4 linked regions of the Cricetulus griseus genome follow. The protein of the gene in region 1 purifies or fractionates together with the protein of each later gene. This does not show direct contact. Links are inferred from orthologs where the notes say so. Each region holds a gene or a part of one and is shown in the gene's direction. Other genes may lie near its edges.

Evidence for each region.
Region 2: the proteins of Mapk8ip1 (region 1) and Map3k7 purify together in Homo sapiens (pull-down; 3 studies listed by BioGRID and IntAct, with this or other methods). This does not show direct contact. The link is inferred for Cricetulus griseus from reciprocal best matches to the Homo sapiens genes MAPK8IP1 and MAP3K7.
Region 3: the proteins of Mapk8ip1 (region 1) and Mapk9 purify together in Homo sapiens (affinity purification with western blotting; 4 studies listed by BioGRID and IntAct, counting the BioPlex papers as one, with this or other methods). This does not show direct contact. The link is inferred for Cricetulus griseus from reciprocal best matches to the Homo sapiens genes MAPK8IP1 and MAPK9.
Region 4: the proteins of Mapk8ip1 (region 1) and Map2k7 purify together in Homo sapiens (affinity purification with western blotting; 3 studies listed by BioGRID and IntAct, with this or other methods). This does not show direct contact. The link is inferred for Cricetulus griseus from reciprocal best matches to the Homo sapiens genes MAPK8IP1 and MAP2K7.

Annotation. Positions count from the first base shown.
Region 1 is NC_048599.1:84,354,721-84,357,742, forward strand, and holds the end of Mapk8ip1 (C-Jun-amino-terminal kinase-interacting protein 1), read left to right. Parts: coding exon 1-79; intron 80-237; coding exon 238-313; intron 314-697; coding exon 698-870; intron 871-1,133; coding exon 1,134-1,243; intron 1,244-1,397; coding exon 1,398-1,514; intron 1,515-1,673; coding exon 1,674-1,744; intron 1,745-1,826; coding exon 1,827-1,925; intron 1,926-2,266; coding exon 2,267-2,339; 3' UTR 2,340-2,479; downstream 2,480-3,022. UniProt on the Homo sapiens protein: The JNK-interacting protein (JIP) group of scaffold proteins selectively mediates JNK signaling by aggregating specific components of the MAPK cascade to form a functional JNK signaling module. Required for JNK activation in response to excitotoxic stress.
Region 2 is NC_048595.1:110,111,419-110,115,640, reverse strand, and holds the start of Map3k7 (mitogen-activated protein kinase kinase kinase 7), read left to right. Parts: upstream 1-1,400; 5' UTR 1,401-1,685; coding exon 1,686-1,805; intron 1,806-1,811; exon of another isoform or gene 1,812-3,342; intron 3,343-4,222. UniProt on the Homo sapiens protein: Serine/threonine kinase which acts as an essential component of the MAP kinase signal transduction pathway. Plays an important role in the cascades of cellular responses evoked by changes in the environment.
Region 3 is NC_048600.1:64,342,341-64,345,903, forward strand, and holds part of Mapk9 (mitogen-activated protein kinase 9), read left to right. Parts: intron 1-2,455; coding exon 2,456-2,638; intron 2,639-3,563. UniProt on the Homo sapiens protein: Serine/threonine-protein kinase involved in various processes such as cell proliferation, differentiation, migration, transformation and programmed cell death.
Region 4 is NC_048597.1:89,048,743-89,053,022, forward strand, and holds the start of Map2k7 (dual specificity mitogen-activated protein kinase kinase 7), read left to right. Parts: upstream 1-1,426; 5' UTR 1,427-1,503; coding exon 1,504-1,627; intron 1,628-3,336; coding exon 3,337-3,384; intron 3,385-4,280. UniProt on the Homo sapiens protein: Dual specificity protein kinase which acts as an essential component of the MAP kinase signal transduction pathway. Essential component of the stress-activated protein kinase/c-Jun N-terminal kinase (SAP/JNK) signaling pathway.

The DNA of each region.
Region 1 (3,022 bases):
TCCACCCCAGATGAGCCTGATGTCCACTTCTCTAAGAAGTTCCTGAACGTCTTCATGAGTGGCCGCTCTCGCTCCTCCAGTGAGTCAGTGAGCAGGGAATGGTGGGGGGGAGCCTGGCCAGGGAGAGCTGAGATGGAATGGGGCCTCAGATATCACGTAGTCTGTCCGAGAGCAGGACAGAGCTTCCTAGTTGTCCCGAGCTGAGGTCACCTCCTCCAGCCTATTGACTTCCTACAGGTGCTGAGTCCTTCGGGCTATTCTCCTGTGTCATCAATGGGGAGGAGCATGAGCAGACCCATCGGGCTATATTCAGGTGAGGGCTGCCCCTTCCTTGCTGTACTGGCCCACCACTGGCATCCCCTCAGCTGCTGGGGGACGGTATCCCCTGTAGGAACTCAGCTTAGTGACAAAATGCTCAGGTGTCATGAGGAAGCTAGGGCTGTGCACTTAACCTGCCCTGCATAGAACCCACACCCCATCTTGCCTCCTCTAGGTGAAGTGCTCACTTTCTGTGGCCTTTTAGTCATCAAGGCCTAGGCTCCCTTCCTCCCTGGCCCTGAAATCTTGTGTGGCAGATGCATGTCTCAGGGTGGCATGTCCCTCAGGAGGCAGCATTGTGATAGGCACATGGGTATTTTGCAAATGTCAATGGCTAAAGAACCCTGATGATCAGTACCTCACATGCCCTTGGGGGTAGGTTTGTGCCTCGACATGAAGATGAACTTGAGCTTGAAGTGGATGATCCTCTCCTGGTGGAGCTGCAGGCAGAAGACTATTGGTATGAGGCCTATAATATGCGCACCGGAGCCCGAGGTGTCTTTCCTGCCTACTATGCCATTGAGGTCACCAAGGAGCCTGAGCACATGGCAGGTAGTACTTCCCTCTAGTTTGGTCATACCCATCCCCACATCTACCCACCTGACTTGCTGCCAGTGTACATGTACCCCAGGTCTTAGACAGCCAGGGAGGAGAGCAGAGTAATTTCAGTTCTGTTATGCCAGGTCGGGGCATGTGGGGATGGTAGCATCCTCCACTGCCTGAGGCACTCCACATGCTGCACTCTCCCTTCTTGGCTTGGCTCTGAGCCCTCTGCTGATGGCTCTCTTGCTCCTTATGGTATGGTTGCTTTCCAGCCCTTGCCAAAAACAGCGACTGGATTGACCAGTTCCGGGTGAAGTTCCTGGGTTCCGTCCAGGTTCCTTATCACAAGGGCAACGATGTCCTCTGTGCCGCTATGCAAAAGGTACCCAAATCTGACTCCTTGCTTTTTCCTGGGGTGTTTGTCCTCAGCCAGCCCACACTAGGGAAAAGGACACAGGGATCTGGAGGCAGTGTTATGACATGAGGGATTCATAGAGGAACACAGAGCTTCCAACATGGCTCTGTCCCTCATGCAGATTGCCACCACCCGCCGGCTCACGGTGCACTTTAACCCACCCTCCAGCTGTGTCCTTGAGATCAGCGTTAGAGGTGTCAAGATAGGTGTCAAAGCCGATGATGCTCAGGAGGCCAAGGTGACTTCCTTTAAGCCCCAGCCTTCCTGCCCTGTGTGCGTCTCCTGCTCCTTTATTTCTTGCCTGCAATGTGTGCCTCCTCTCCCTGTGTGCCTGCCCTATCCCCATTTGCTCCTCCTGCCTGTTTCTGCCAAGCTGACTATCTTGTCCTTCCTGTAGGGAAATAAATGTAGCCACTTTTTCCAGCTAAAAAACATCTCTTTCTGTGGATATCATCCAAAGAACAACAAGTAAGTAGGAGAAGCAGACATAAGAGTCCCAGTGGTAGTCATGGGTAAGAATCTTGTCTCACAGATGCCTGCCTTCTCATAGGTACTTTGGTTTCATCACCAAGCACCCTGCTGACCACCGGTTTGCCTGCCATGTCTTTGTGTCTGAAGACTCCACCAAAGCCCTGGCAGAGTCTGTGGGGTAAGTGTGTGTGTGTGGGGGGGGGCGGTTGATAAGGGTCTGCCCAGGGAATATGCCCTGTCACAGGCCTTAGAGCTTCTTCATGCTCAGTGTGTCACCCTTGTCCTAGAAACCCCACTCCTGGAAGAGGCTGGGAGGTACTAAGGAGCCCAGGGTTGGGGCCACTTCCTGGTTAATTAGCTACTGGCCCTTTCTCAACTGCTCCTTTCTTCTTTGGGAAATAACTGCCCAGAGAACAGAGCCAAGCTGTCCGGGAGTCCCAAAGTTTGAAGAAATTGAGTTGAGGCTCCTGGTCGCCCCCAGTGACCCTAACCCTAACCCCAGTGCCCCCCATTTTCCAGGCGTGCATTTCAGCAGTTCTACAAGCAGTTTGTGGAGTACACCTGTCCTACAGAAGATATCTACCTGGAGTAGCAGTGCCACCACCCTCTGCAGCCCTCTGCCCCAGGCCAGTACTAGGACAGCTGGCAACGGACAGGATGTGGCACTGCCACAAGAGAATGGGGGAGTGAGGGCTGTTTCGGGGGGGCAGGGGTATGGGGAGAAGCAGATGCAGTTTATTGTAATATATGGGGTTAGATTCATCTATGGAGGACAGTACAGGCTCTCTGGGGACTGGTGAAGGGTCAAGCTGGGGGTGGGGGTCAGGCCTCTGACTACAAAGGGTTCCCCTAGGAACAGAGGCACTGCCCCATCCTGGGTCTTGTTTCATGCCAGGGATCCTGGCTTTTCTAGCTCTTGGCTCCTGCCTTGACAAAGCCCATTCCACCTGGAAGTGCCCACCGTCCCCTTCCCACCTCACCTAGAGCCCTGAGCTCAGGCTGAGTCCAACCACCTCCGGAGGACTTTCCAGTAAGGAAATGGCAATACATGACAGTCAAGACATCTGTGGGGCCTCTGGGCAGCTCTAACCTCCAGCCTGGCCAGCATGCTGGTCCTGGCAGGCTTGTGTGCGCTAGGAAGGAGAGGGCTACAGCACGCCCTGCCTTGCGGGGAAAGGAGGCCTCTCAGCTGGTCCCAGCCATCCCTGTCACTGTCTTGTCACCTGGCTACTACTATTAAAGTGCCATTTCCTGTCTGGACCACAGTAGGTGTAT
Region 2 (4,222 bases), on another chromosome or scaffold:
TTGTCAAATACAATGATCTACTTGCAACCCCAAGCATTCTAACTTACTTATACTTGGATTAACTCAGACAGCTACTCTTTCATTGGAAAGGTCTCTTGGAGTAAAACTGGGATCTCCACCAGTACTAGTAAACTCAGGACTTGGCATTCTCAGAGTTAGTACTTGGGCACTAAATCTTCTCATGTTCTTGCTAGTTTTTTGAGTCAAATCAACTAAACCTAGCTTAAACTAAAACTTGTGTTGGTCATACAAGGATAATTAGGGTGCTGTGATCTAACTTGAATCGCAAAATTATTGCAGAGTACTGTATGAAGGCAGGGAAGGAAAAATTATGGGACCTAAGGGAAAGGAGCCCCTCACCCAGAAGTCGGAGCTCGTCACCAAGTTAAAGAATTCCAGTACAAATAACACTTGCTATGAAGATTGCCAACATAAAGGCAACATCCCTTTATATAAAGATATTTCATGTTGAACTAGCAATGGATCTTGCTTAAGGTTCAAGCCTCTGTGTCCTTTAAGTAAGGCCTTAGTCCTTTCCTAGATACTTTCTGGGAACCTCACAAAACCAGAGTATTAATTTCGTTTCCGGTGAAGTTATCCTAACTCCTGGAATCATGCTTGCCAGGTACCCTTCAGGAATCTCCCTTAAAGTCCGTAGTAACCCTTCAAAGACAATGCCTTCAAAGGTCACAAAAATCCTGTACATAAACATTGTAAGGACAGTGAAGAATGACTCTCCAGCTTTGCTTCGCACTGGCTCCTCCTAGAATTCTTCTCCTTGGTGCGTCTAAGGATCCGGCCTCGTGCGAGAGAAATCTCTCAAAACAAACTCTTCGAGCTGCTGCGGGCGACAGCCTCGGGAACCTGACAAGGTTAAACAGTTTGAGTTTATCAGTGTTACAGCACACCGTTAGCGTCTATCGGTGAGCACTCCTATTTCATGGTGTTCCTCAGGCTGTTCGCACTCATTGCTTCTTTTTCCGCCCCGAATCCCTCACAGGCTCGGGGGTCAGCTCAAAGGAACACACACAACGCCGCAAACGCCACACCGCGGAAACAGTTCTACAAAACTTGAAAGCTTCTTCAACAGCTCACGCGTGAAAGTGAAAATCAAGATGCGCCAAAAAGAACAGGACACAAAACACCGCCTGTCTGCCTGTCTGCAGACCGCTAGGAACAGAGGCGGGAAGGCACGACACAACTCAAAATAAAAACCGACAGATTTCATCTTTCCCGCGGGTTCCAGCGCGACCAACCCCAACTGCCTTCTCTCTCGTTCCGCTCGCGCATTTTCTTCACGTCACCGCGTCAGGTATCGCGGTACCGCCCGGCAGCCGAGGGCCTCCAACCAAAGTCTCGCGAGATTTGTCCCACAGGCCCAGAGAGCCACTCGCGCCCTCTTCCACTCCACCCCTAACCCGGCTTTTCTCGCTCTTTCCAAGTCTCAAAATTCCCCCTCCGGTTCCTCAAGCGTTGCCTCCCTCCCCTACTTCCGACTCCAAACCGGAACTGGAAGTGCGGTGGGCGGGGCTCGACGACGGAAAGCGCCGAGGAGCCGAAGCCGGGACTCGGCGGTGGCCCGGGTCGGTCCCGCGCCACGGAGCGCCCGGCTGCGGGGCGGCCCGGCTCGGGGCTGAAGGGCGGCGCGCGGGCGGGTGGGCGAGTGCGGCCCCCCGGGCGCCGTCATGTCGACAGCCTCCGCCGCCTCGTCCTCCTCCTCGTCTTCTGCCAGTGAGATGATCGAAGCGCCAACGCAGGTCCTCAACTTCGAAGAGATCGACTACAAGGAGATCGAGGTGGAAGAGGTGAGCGAGGCCGGCCGGGCCCTGCAGCCCCGCGCCGCCTCGGATCGGGGGCGGGGGCGGCTCCTGGACGGGCTTCATCGTTGATAGGAATCTGTGACTCTGTACCTGATTACATGTGTGACTCTATACCTGATCGCTTGTGTGCTCAACTGTGCGATGATCCGCAATAGAGCGAGCAGAGTTTGGCGGCTGCGGAGTTTCGGTTCCCTAGCCGTGGTGTTTAAGGCCAAGGCTGCGAGTGGCTGACACGAAAGGATGCTCGGGGACAGGCTGGTGAAGAAAGCGTCCCACGGAGTTTTCCCTGGTCCGGAATTCTTCTTTCTGATACCATAGAGTAGTTCTGTCTTCTCTTGGGCTAATGGGGATGACTTCCATTCTTAAGTGACATGAGTCTGTTGTGAAGGGATGTTTGAAATGTGCTATCAAAGTGGCGCATTCTGAAGAGGCAAGTAATGATTATGGTGACAGAATATAACACGGCACCAGACATAGCTGTTAGAAAAGCCGAATAAATTAAATCTCCACCTTGAATTTCAGAACAAACGTTTCAGAGTGTCTTCGATACATCCATCACCTGTTTTCACATCCGCAGTGGGCATCAGTTAGTTCTAAGAGTCTTCGTATTTCCAAAATAAAAGACTATGTGTATTTATATTTAAAATGCAGTTTAGAACTCATTAAAACTTTAGTTAGAAATACTTTCATGCAGTTCCTATGAGTTTGTCCTATTTTTAAACACTTTATGTTTTCTCTGTGGTAGTGTGGGGTTTATTGAAATCTACACTCTAAAGTTGTCTTTAAAACTTTTAATTATTGTAGTAAGGAGTTAAGAGTTGCAAGCTAATTAACACTCAGCAAATATATTTTTCCTTAGATAATTACTAAGTCACATCTTTTCATCGCAGAAAGAAACTTTAGAGATCACTGTGTTCATTGAGAACATGACTGTCTTACAAGAAGAGTGGTGGGAAGAGAAAGGTTTAAGACAAGAGGATTCAGTGTGTGGCATAGACCACTGTGTGACTTGTCTCCCTCTGCTTAGTGTGACAAATCCAGTTTAAGCAGTGTATGCAGAAAATCCAGCCTAGTGTCTGACACATTGTTAGCAAGCAAGTTCCAGAGAGGAAGGGTGACCTGCTTTAAGGTCACATGCTAAAAGAAGGCCTGTTTTTGAAGAGGGAAAACATTTTATGTGTGCCTCCCCACCCCCATTGAAGCTAAGATAAATTCCTTTTTTGAGAATCGGGTAGTTGATGCAGCTTTCATGGATAACATTCTTTTTTAAGACTAAAACTTCAGTGAGTCATTATATAAGAATTGCAGTTTTTAAGTAAGCATTTGCATATACTCTGGTGAATTGCTGTGCTTGGAGACTACAAATTGTTATATAATAATAGCTTGTACTTCATGGTCTACCACTTGTTTCCACAAACTTACTTTGTTTGATTCTTTTTAAAGCTTTCACAATCTTGCTTCATTGAGGCCTGCAAGTTGCAAGGGAAACAGTCATCAATTTGATGCTCTCAGCCCAAAGCTGGTACAGTTTTGAAATTTGTTTCATTTTAGTGCTTAGTTTATTTTCATAGCCTTGATTTAATTCAGGCCTTTCTGACTAAACAGTTTTGCACCATGGGCACTCAGTAGCTATTTTTCAACTTACATTCTACTTCTAGTTTAAATCATAGGAAAATAGAAGGATGACCCAACACAAAAACAATCTTATGTTGCTTTCAGTGTTTTATATGGACAAGTATATCACCTTTTAAATTAAGAAAATAGTGGCTTGGTGTGTAACTCAGTAATAGAATTCTTGCCCACCATGCTTGAGCCTCTGGCTTCAATCCTAACACACAAAAAGTGATTTAAGAGAACCATGTTATTTATTTCTCAATAACAATATAATGGAATCAGCATTATATGAAGATAAGTAGAAACTGTGCTGTAAAAAAAAATTCTAGCTAGAGACCAGATGTGGGATAATTTAGTAGATACACATTTTAAGACAGCAGATGCTTTTCATCGTTGTGCTCTTAGAACTGTGTCTCTTCACTTTCGAAATTTAACTCTGCTGTCAAATTATATCAGTTCTGTGTCTCAGAATTCTACATGGGTACTTAATTTTTTAAAAAGTCATTCAGTTTTTAACCTTCGTGTACCTAAGTGAAAAAAATCTGAACTGTAGACTGCATTGAGGGTGGCATGGTTAAAACAATGTGGTTTGGTGAAAATTGCATTAAACTGAGTATGTAGGAAATTAGGTGCTGTGTTGATTATGTCAGAACCTATTTGGACAGGTCATTCCGTTTGGAGACCTGTGATTTCGCTCTTTAGTTGAGAGATTGGATGAGATCATTATCTGTTCCAGTTGTAAAAATTAAATACATGTATTCTGTTGTTCTCCACAGGAAGTTTAGAAG
Region 3 (3,563 bases), on another chromosome or scaffold:
TTTATGTGTTAACATGTTACAATAGTTGATGTTTTATATATAAGGTCACCCTAAGTGCTTTAAAGTTGCACAGAAATTAACATCATTTTCTAAAGAAAGTTTTGCTCACTTTTTCAAAGTTTAGATTGAAAATTTGGGTGCTATAGAAAGGCTCCAGAAACCAAGTTGAGGTTCTCTAGAGGTTTGCTTGTGACCTTGGCAGAAAAATAACTGCTCTCCTTACTGTGGCTTCTGAGAAAGAAAACACTTGAGCCTGGCCACCTGAAGTCCAAGTTCAGACGGCCTCTCATGGCAGCTGTGTATCTTGGAGAAATTCTGGTCTTTCTGGGCTATGGCTTCCTATTTTTCTAAATGAAAGACCTGTGCTCCATCCACCCAGAAGGTCCACCTTGCTTCTTTCCCAGGTAAAGCCCACTCCCCCACCCCATGCCACCTCCCTGCCACCATCTATCAAAATGACCCTGTAGCACTAATCCAGATATATATATATATATATATATATATATATATATATATATATAGAGAGAGAGAGAGAGAGAGAGAGAACCTACCCATTTGTAGGTGCTTCATCTAAGTGAAGTGTAAAAGATTCACTGCCAAGATCTCTTGAGGACAGTAGAAGCAGGAGGCACTGCTAGTCACCCAGAAAGAGATGGTGGGGCTCACACCAGGCCAGTTGGTTGGCCCTGGAGTCTTCTCCGAGGGGTAATCAAATGACTTTGTGGATTCAGAGTATCTAATCTATCAAGTGTGCAATTCAAGGCAAAGATTTGGAACAAAGAAAGGAATGTGGAAATCATTGGTTTGTTGATAGCACTGAAACCTTGAGCTGGTACTAAGCATTGAAGAGATGAACAAAGGATCAGGGATTAAGGAAAAGGAGGAAGGGCTCAGAACTTACCATTGGGTCTGGTGGTTGCCCCTGGCAACCTTAATGGAAACAGTTCTCCAGATGACTGGGGAGAGAAGTCTGATGAGAGTACATTTAGGAGAGGACAAGGACATAGGAATTAGATGCAGGTTATCAGTAAGCAGACTAGGGGTGTCACAGGAAAGTGGCTGTTGTTAACTTGGAAGAGAGCATCATGTCTGAATGATGGCAGAAGGTTCCAGTAGAGATCGAGTTTCGGGTGGAGCATCAAGAAATAAGAATAAGAGATACTTGTCCTTCAGTAGGTGAGAAGGGAAGGTAGATGGGCTTGGCTTTTAGCCAGAAGCCCAGATGGTTCCCAGTGGTAAGTGGCACAGAGATATGGGGGTGGGGGCATCATGTTGCTCTTAGGATTAGTCTTCACAGTGAGGAAGGAACATCAGGAAGAGGTGTTAAAAGTATATGGAGAGAGGGATAATATGGGCCAGGTTTCCTGTTTTGGCTAAGCCCCTAAATAAAACCTGTGCATAATCCTGAGTTGTCAAAGTGCATGAAAGGAGAGGAGAAGGAGAGCACCCAGGATTTCACTCTCTGCACCCATTTCCTGAGTAGACCTTCCAAATGAACGCTCTGTAAGACCTGAGTTTGTGTGACAGCCCTAGGTGATGTTCCAGGGGCATAAACACATATTCTGAGAAAGCCTGTCACTTTCCAAGCTCCTCTTATGTGATTTCATAGCCTGCATTGTCTTGTGTGACTGTTTACAGCTTCAGTGTCACTTTCCACAGACATTGTCCCAGTCACCCTAGGCCTAACGAGCACCCCTAGAGCTAAGCAAAGCTGGTGTCACCTGCATGTACAAGTGAGGTCGTCACTCCTAAGGACTGACTCCAGCAACCTTGAGAGTGTAGAACTCACTGACTATGAAACCGAGGTCATGTACATTGAAAGGAAGGAACAACACATCACTAGATGCTGAAGGGATGGGCTGGTGCTAAGTGAAACAGAATGGCCTCTGAAAGCATCATTGTCTAAGGCAGTTTCAGGAGGGTGTGTGGTCTGTGGGAAAGGCCTGAGCCTGGGCCCCTGCCCCTTCCCTCTGTATGCTTCCCGTGGTCAGCCTGTTTCGCAGGCTTTGCTGCCTAGCTATGAGACAGGTCAGATGGTCTCTCCAGCTCTTCTCTCCTTTAGAGACCTGTGAGTCTAAGGTAGCTTTAGTATGAAAATTGATTTCAGTTTGCTTATGTAACATTTGTTTATTTCATGTTTAATCATTTATATCATAGGTTGAATCATTTTTGTCATAATTTCATTTTGAATTATAACAGAAAAACTTATAGATTATGTTGATTTAATGAGCCATAATCATAGTCTTTAAGATGCAGAGAATGAGAGTTTTTGTTAAGTAATTTAAAAACCAAACCTTATTTAAATACTATTCCAAAATGTTTTTGCTGATCCTGTGGGGTGACCTAGTTACTTACTTGTCCACAAATATAAATATAATTTTACTTTGCATGATGGTACTGTATATGTTATGACTATGAAGCATTTCAGTTGTATTTTCCTCAAGAGAATCCTTAGATATTGATCAGTGGAATAAAGTTATTGAACAGCTAGGAACACCGTCTGCAGAGTTCATGAAGAAACTTCAGCCAACCGTGAGGAATTACGTGGAAAATAGACCAAAGTACCCTGGAATCAAATTTGAAGAGCTCTTTCCAGATTGGATATTTCCATCAGAATCTGAGCGAGACAAAATAAAAAGTAAGGTATTCTTTTATTCTATAATTGTTTCTCTAATGTTTGAGCTCTAAAACCCATGTATGTTAAGAACCCTGAAATAGCATCTCTTATGGTCTGACATTTGAATGCACCACAGAGTGAAAACTTAAAGACCAAGAGTCTTGACCTTGCTAAAACAAAGTAAAAAAAAAAAAAAAAAAAAAAAAAAAAAAAAAAGGCCAAAATTAAAATGTCCAGACCAATCTGGACAACCCTTAGGTTATGGGTTAGAAGATGCCTGCAAGTATGAGGACTTGGATTGTGTCCCTAACATCACACAGAAAGCCCACACATAGCTGCATATGCCTAGCAGGTCAGTGAGAGATCCTGTCCTAAAGGAATAAAGGGGAGAGCAATAGAGGAAGACACCTGACTCCCTCTTCTAGCCTCAGAATACATGGTAAAACACACACACACACACACACACACACACACACACACACACACACACACACACACACACACACACACGACTCATTGTGATGTCAGCAATCCAAATTCAAAATGTTTTCAAATGCAAAGAACTTCAGTTCAGTAAGTTCACTTCAGTAAGGATTCTAGACAGAAACTATTGAGTGTGGCCCAGTGAGAATGGCCCTTCCTGCCCTTCCATGCTCTTCCTAGACTGTGATCACCTGAGAAAAAACAATGGCTTTGTCTCCTCTACCTCAGGGTGAGCAGCACCTGGGTCAGGAAACCCTAGCCTTTCCTTGGTTGTATATTGTGAGCTTTTCATTGAGACCTCATTGAGCCTTCTGCTTAATTAAGTTGAGCTTGTTGGTTTTTTTTTTTTTTTCCTAACTACTAGCCCCTAGATTGAAAACAAAAAGTGTATACTGTCAGCATTGTATATGGCTAGGCAAAGCAGAGAAACCTCTGGGCTGTGGGTACTGGGAACATTTTTACA
Region 4 (4,280 bases), on another chromosome or scaffold:
GACCTCTTTGTATAGTATGGCTATCTAAGCTTTCTATAGCCAGGTCCAAACAATAACACCTACCTGTCAAATCAGGCTGGCTTTCCTGGGAGGAAAGACATCCCAGGTACTTAAATAGAGGGTGATGTAGAGACCTCATCTAATCAAGATAAATTAGATAGAGTTTTCTGCCTATTTTTTTTTCTAAATAACTGCCCCCCTACACACACAAAGTCAGTTGATGGTGATGCATACCTCTAATCCCCACACTCAGACAGGCAAACCTGAGTTCGAGGCCAGCCTAGTCTACAGAGCGAGTTCCGGGAAGGCCAGGGTTACACAGAGAAACTCTGTTTCGAATAGCCAAAACAAAACAAAGAATCCAATTTCCTCTCCTCCCTCCTCCTTTTATCCTTTTAACTCCAAGCATGTTTCTGCTCCACTTGTAGGTCATTGCCAGAGAGTAAGCCTTTTTTAAAGGCCCATCCCAAAGTGTTCACTGTTACTTTCAGAGTGGTGGCACAGCCTAACCTCCTGGGTATGGTCACTTGCTGAATGTCCCTGTACATTGCAAGCCTCCTCCTTGCCCTAAAAACCTAGAGGCAAACTGCTCCTTAGCCACCCAGATTTACAGATAGAGACGATACCCTAGCACCTTTTACTTAACTCTTTAAGCCGGGCAAGGAGCACACTCGGCAGAGGCATCTAACCCCAGCTGAGCCCAGCTTCTGAGGGCGAAGAGATGGGGATGGGGCGTCTCAAGGTCTCAAGTAGGCACGGCCAGGAAGTCTGGCCTTAACGGAGCTCAGGAATCGCCAGCTCTGGATTCCCTCTCCTCCAGTCAGGCCTTGCTCTACTCTGTACCGGCTGGAATGGAAAGGGATTCCCACGGGTGCCTAGTTTTTACGGTGAGGAGACGACTTCACGTTGACAGTGGGAGGTCAGGTCGCAATTAAGCATAACAGGGCCTAATGAAGGGCTGAGCAAGACGAGGAAGGTTGCTCTATGTACGCGGATGCCAGGGAGGGCCAGGGCTGGGAAAAGCCCGCAGGAAGTTAACGGAGGTACTGTGTGAACACGGATCCGGGAACGGCCGTGAGCGTGCGCAGTAGAGGCCGCGCGCGTGGCAGGTCTCCCCTTCTGCATGTATGCTGCCGTCCTGCCCGCCTTCCGCTACATAAAAAAAGGAAGAAAAGAAAAGAAAAACCGTGCTTTTTCGAACTGCGCCTCTGCCAGAAAAGCTGGGAGTTCGCGCATGCGCACTGCGGGAGGCAACTGTGGGTGAGGACAACGCACACTGCCAGCCTGGACCTCTAGGTGGCGTCCGCTCCCTACTGGGACACAGCGCGCACGCGCGGCGCTAACCGCGCGAGGCAGGGCGGGCACGCGCTGGGCTGGGCTGGGCTGGGCTGGGCTGGGCTGGGCAGGACGGAGGCTCGGCGGGGTCATTGGAGCGCAGGCGCAGTGCGGTGTTTGTCTACCCCGGGCTGACGGGCGGCCTGGCGGCGAGCGGCGGCGGGGAAGATGGCGGCGTCCTCCCTGGAGCAAAAGCTGTCCCGCCTGGAAGCCAAGCTGAAGCAGGAGAACCGCGAGGCCCGGAGGAGGATCGACCTCAACCTGGATATCAGCCCCCAGCGGCCCAGGCCCAGTAAGCACGGCGGCGTGGGGAGGGGGCGGGGGGGCGGGCGCGCTGTGGCAGGCCCCGCCCACCAGGCAGATCCCGCCCCCGCTTCCGGGGCGCTAGCTCTCCTCCCCTCTATTCCCTACCGCTGTCAGCTTGCAGAGAGAGGGTCACGGTGACCTGGGAGTCGGGTGGGCAGTCTCCAGGGCGACTTCCTCCCCACACACACCGAGACCCTGGGGTTCACATCACTAGGACATGGGAGTTTAGCCGCTGGGTCCCCTCACCCGGTGGTCGGCCCCCAGTGCCTCGTCACCTGCACCCAGCAGGCTTTCAGACCCGAAGCTTCCGAGATCACAGCCAAGTCTTTCAACCCTACAAATAGTTATATCTCTTTTGACCCGGTGGTTCCACTCCTGCTGCTTCTGTGATTGTCAAGAGGTTCCCCTCCCCTAGCAGACAGTCCAGGCACATGCATACCCATCTGCCCACCCAGGTCACTTAGCCCTCATTTACATCTAATTAGTTTTTGAATAGAGGAGTTTCCGTTTGACTTCTGTGGTCATATCTGATGGCTCCTTTTCCTAAACCTGGAAGGGGCCTTGTCATTGGGCCCAGCTGACTGCCTCCTTCATACAGGGGCACCTCAGACCTCTGTGACCAGCTAGCCTCAGGGTTGCTGTATGGCCCTCTGGAAACACATAGCCATTCCTCAGCCTGGCAGCTTTTGTCTCCTGGGCCCTAGTGACTGCTAGTCCTGCAGACACCTGTGGTCAGTGTGAATGTATCTAGTCCCACCCTACAGACACACACCTCCCTTCTGCCTCTTCCTTCTCTGGGCCTGCCTCCCTGACATATGGTCCTGTACCAACAGCTGTTCCCCCTTCTTCCTATATGCACACCCGGCTTGTCATCATCATGACCACAGTTAGCGTCCTTGTTGTATCCCAGATACCCCTGTCCCCAAGTCTTCTCTGTGAAGGGAATTTGATTTTTCTCCCTCCTCACCAACCCTGTGATCCATGCCTTGCCAACCCTCTTTGTATCCCTCTTGATCCCAAACAATGTCTTCTTTATACTCCTGTGTTATATAATTTTTGGAGTACATTATTAGAATTGTCTGTAGGTCACCTGGTAAGAGGGGAAAGGCAGCCTCCCATAGCTGAGAAATCTGTCCACTCCCTGGTCTCTTGGTAACTTTCACAGCCTGATCTTTTCCCTAATCCCTCTCCAGGGTTCCCTCCATCCTTCCCTCTTCTGGCCTGAGTCTGTCAGTTTTCCTCCCTGGAGAGTTTCTTACAGGGCCTGGGGATACCCAGAGTTCGGGATGCTTTCCCCTGGATTCTGCCTGGGACAAGAAGCAGGGCCAAGCTTTGGAAGCCCCCTGCTGGTCTCTGCATAGCCATCTTCCCCAGCCCCAGAGTGGATGAGACAGGGTTGGGTATGGGGTTCTAGGCACCCTAACAGGTGTCTGTCCCTAGAACAGAGTGAGACCTGGTAAGGCTGGTGGCTGGCAGGCCCCAAGGAGCCCCCTGCAGGTGTCTGTGTCTGTCAACTCCATGCCTTCCTCCCACCCTCCCATCTCTGTCGGTTTCTACCCATCTCTGCAGTTCAGTGCCTTGCGCCTCCCCCTCCTCTTCATTATGATTTGATTTCTTTTCTGTTGAACAAATCAGTTATTTCTGTTGTGATTTATCGTGGTTTTTTTTTTTTTCTTTCTTCCTTTCCCCATCCAGTTATTGTGATCACTCTAAGCCCTGCTCCTGCCCCGTCCCAGCGAGCAGGTACCAGCCTTTTTATCATTGCTGCTTGCATATCTGCACATTGACCTAACCGCTGCCCCTGCTGCAGAATGCTGTCCATCCCCACCTCATGCTGTGTGTGTGTGTTCTGTCTCTTCATTGTCACTTCCTCTCCCTTCACTACAGCAGTGTGAGTCTGGCTGTACTTTCTCTGTGCCCTCCAGCCTTCCCATTTCTTCTTTGGCTCAGCTTCGAACCCCCGGAGGATGAAATGGGCTCCCCTAATAGGTGGGCACACAAGGGTGCTTGTGTGTGAATAGGGTGGGTAGAGGCAGGTGCACTGTTCCTATTCAGTTGTGTCAGTTGTGGAGTGAATGAGTGTCATCACTTGTGTACTGTATCTGCTCTCAGGGCCAGGAACATAGCAGTAAGTAAAACAGACCAAGTTCCTGTCCTGTGGGGCTGATGCTGCAATAAGGGGTCCATCATTAGACACCGAGCAAATTCCTGATCCTGTAGAGTAGTCTAGTAGGATGAGGAACTCTGCACAGGGTTGCTCAGGGAAAGCCCATGGAGGATACAGGATTTGAACAAAAGTGTCCCAGGAGGTTGGGTGAGGCAAGACCCGCCCCCAACACACACATATAAGGACCCCATGCTGGGCAGTTCCGCTATGCTGGTTCCTAGGTATGCAATGTCTCCTGTGTATAAGAGAAAGAACACCTGTGTTGGCAGAGATGAGGAGAGCAGACTGTTGGTGGTAGTGTGTTCCCAGCTTGTGTGTATATATGGATGTGTGTGTGTAGAAGGATGGAGGGCTGGCCCTGTCCCCATTGTGTGTGTGTTCCATGTTTTTGGTTTACATGTGTGTGTGCACGTGAGTGTGTGCACGTTAGGTTGGTAGTCTGAATAGTAAGCATGTGTCCCTATGATCTGTT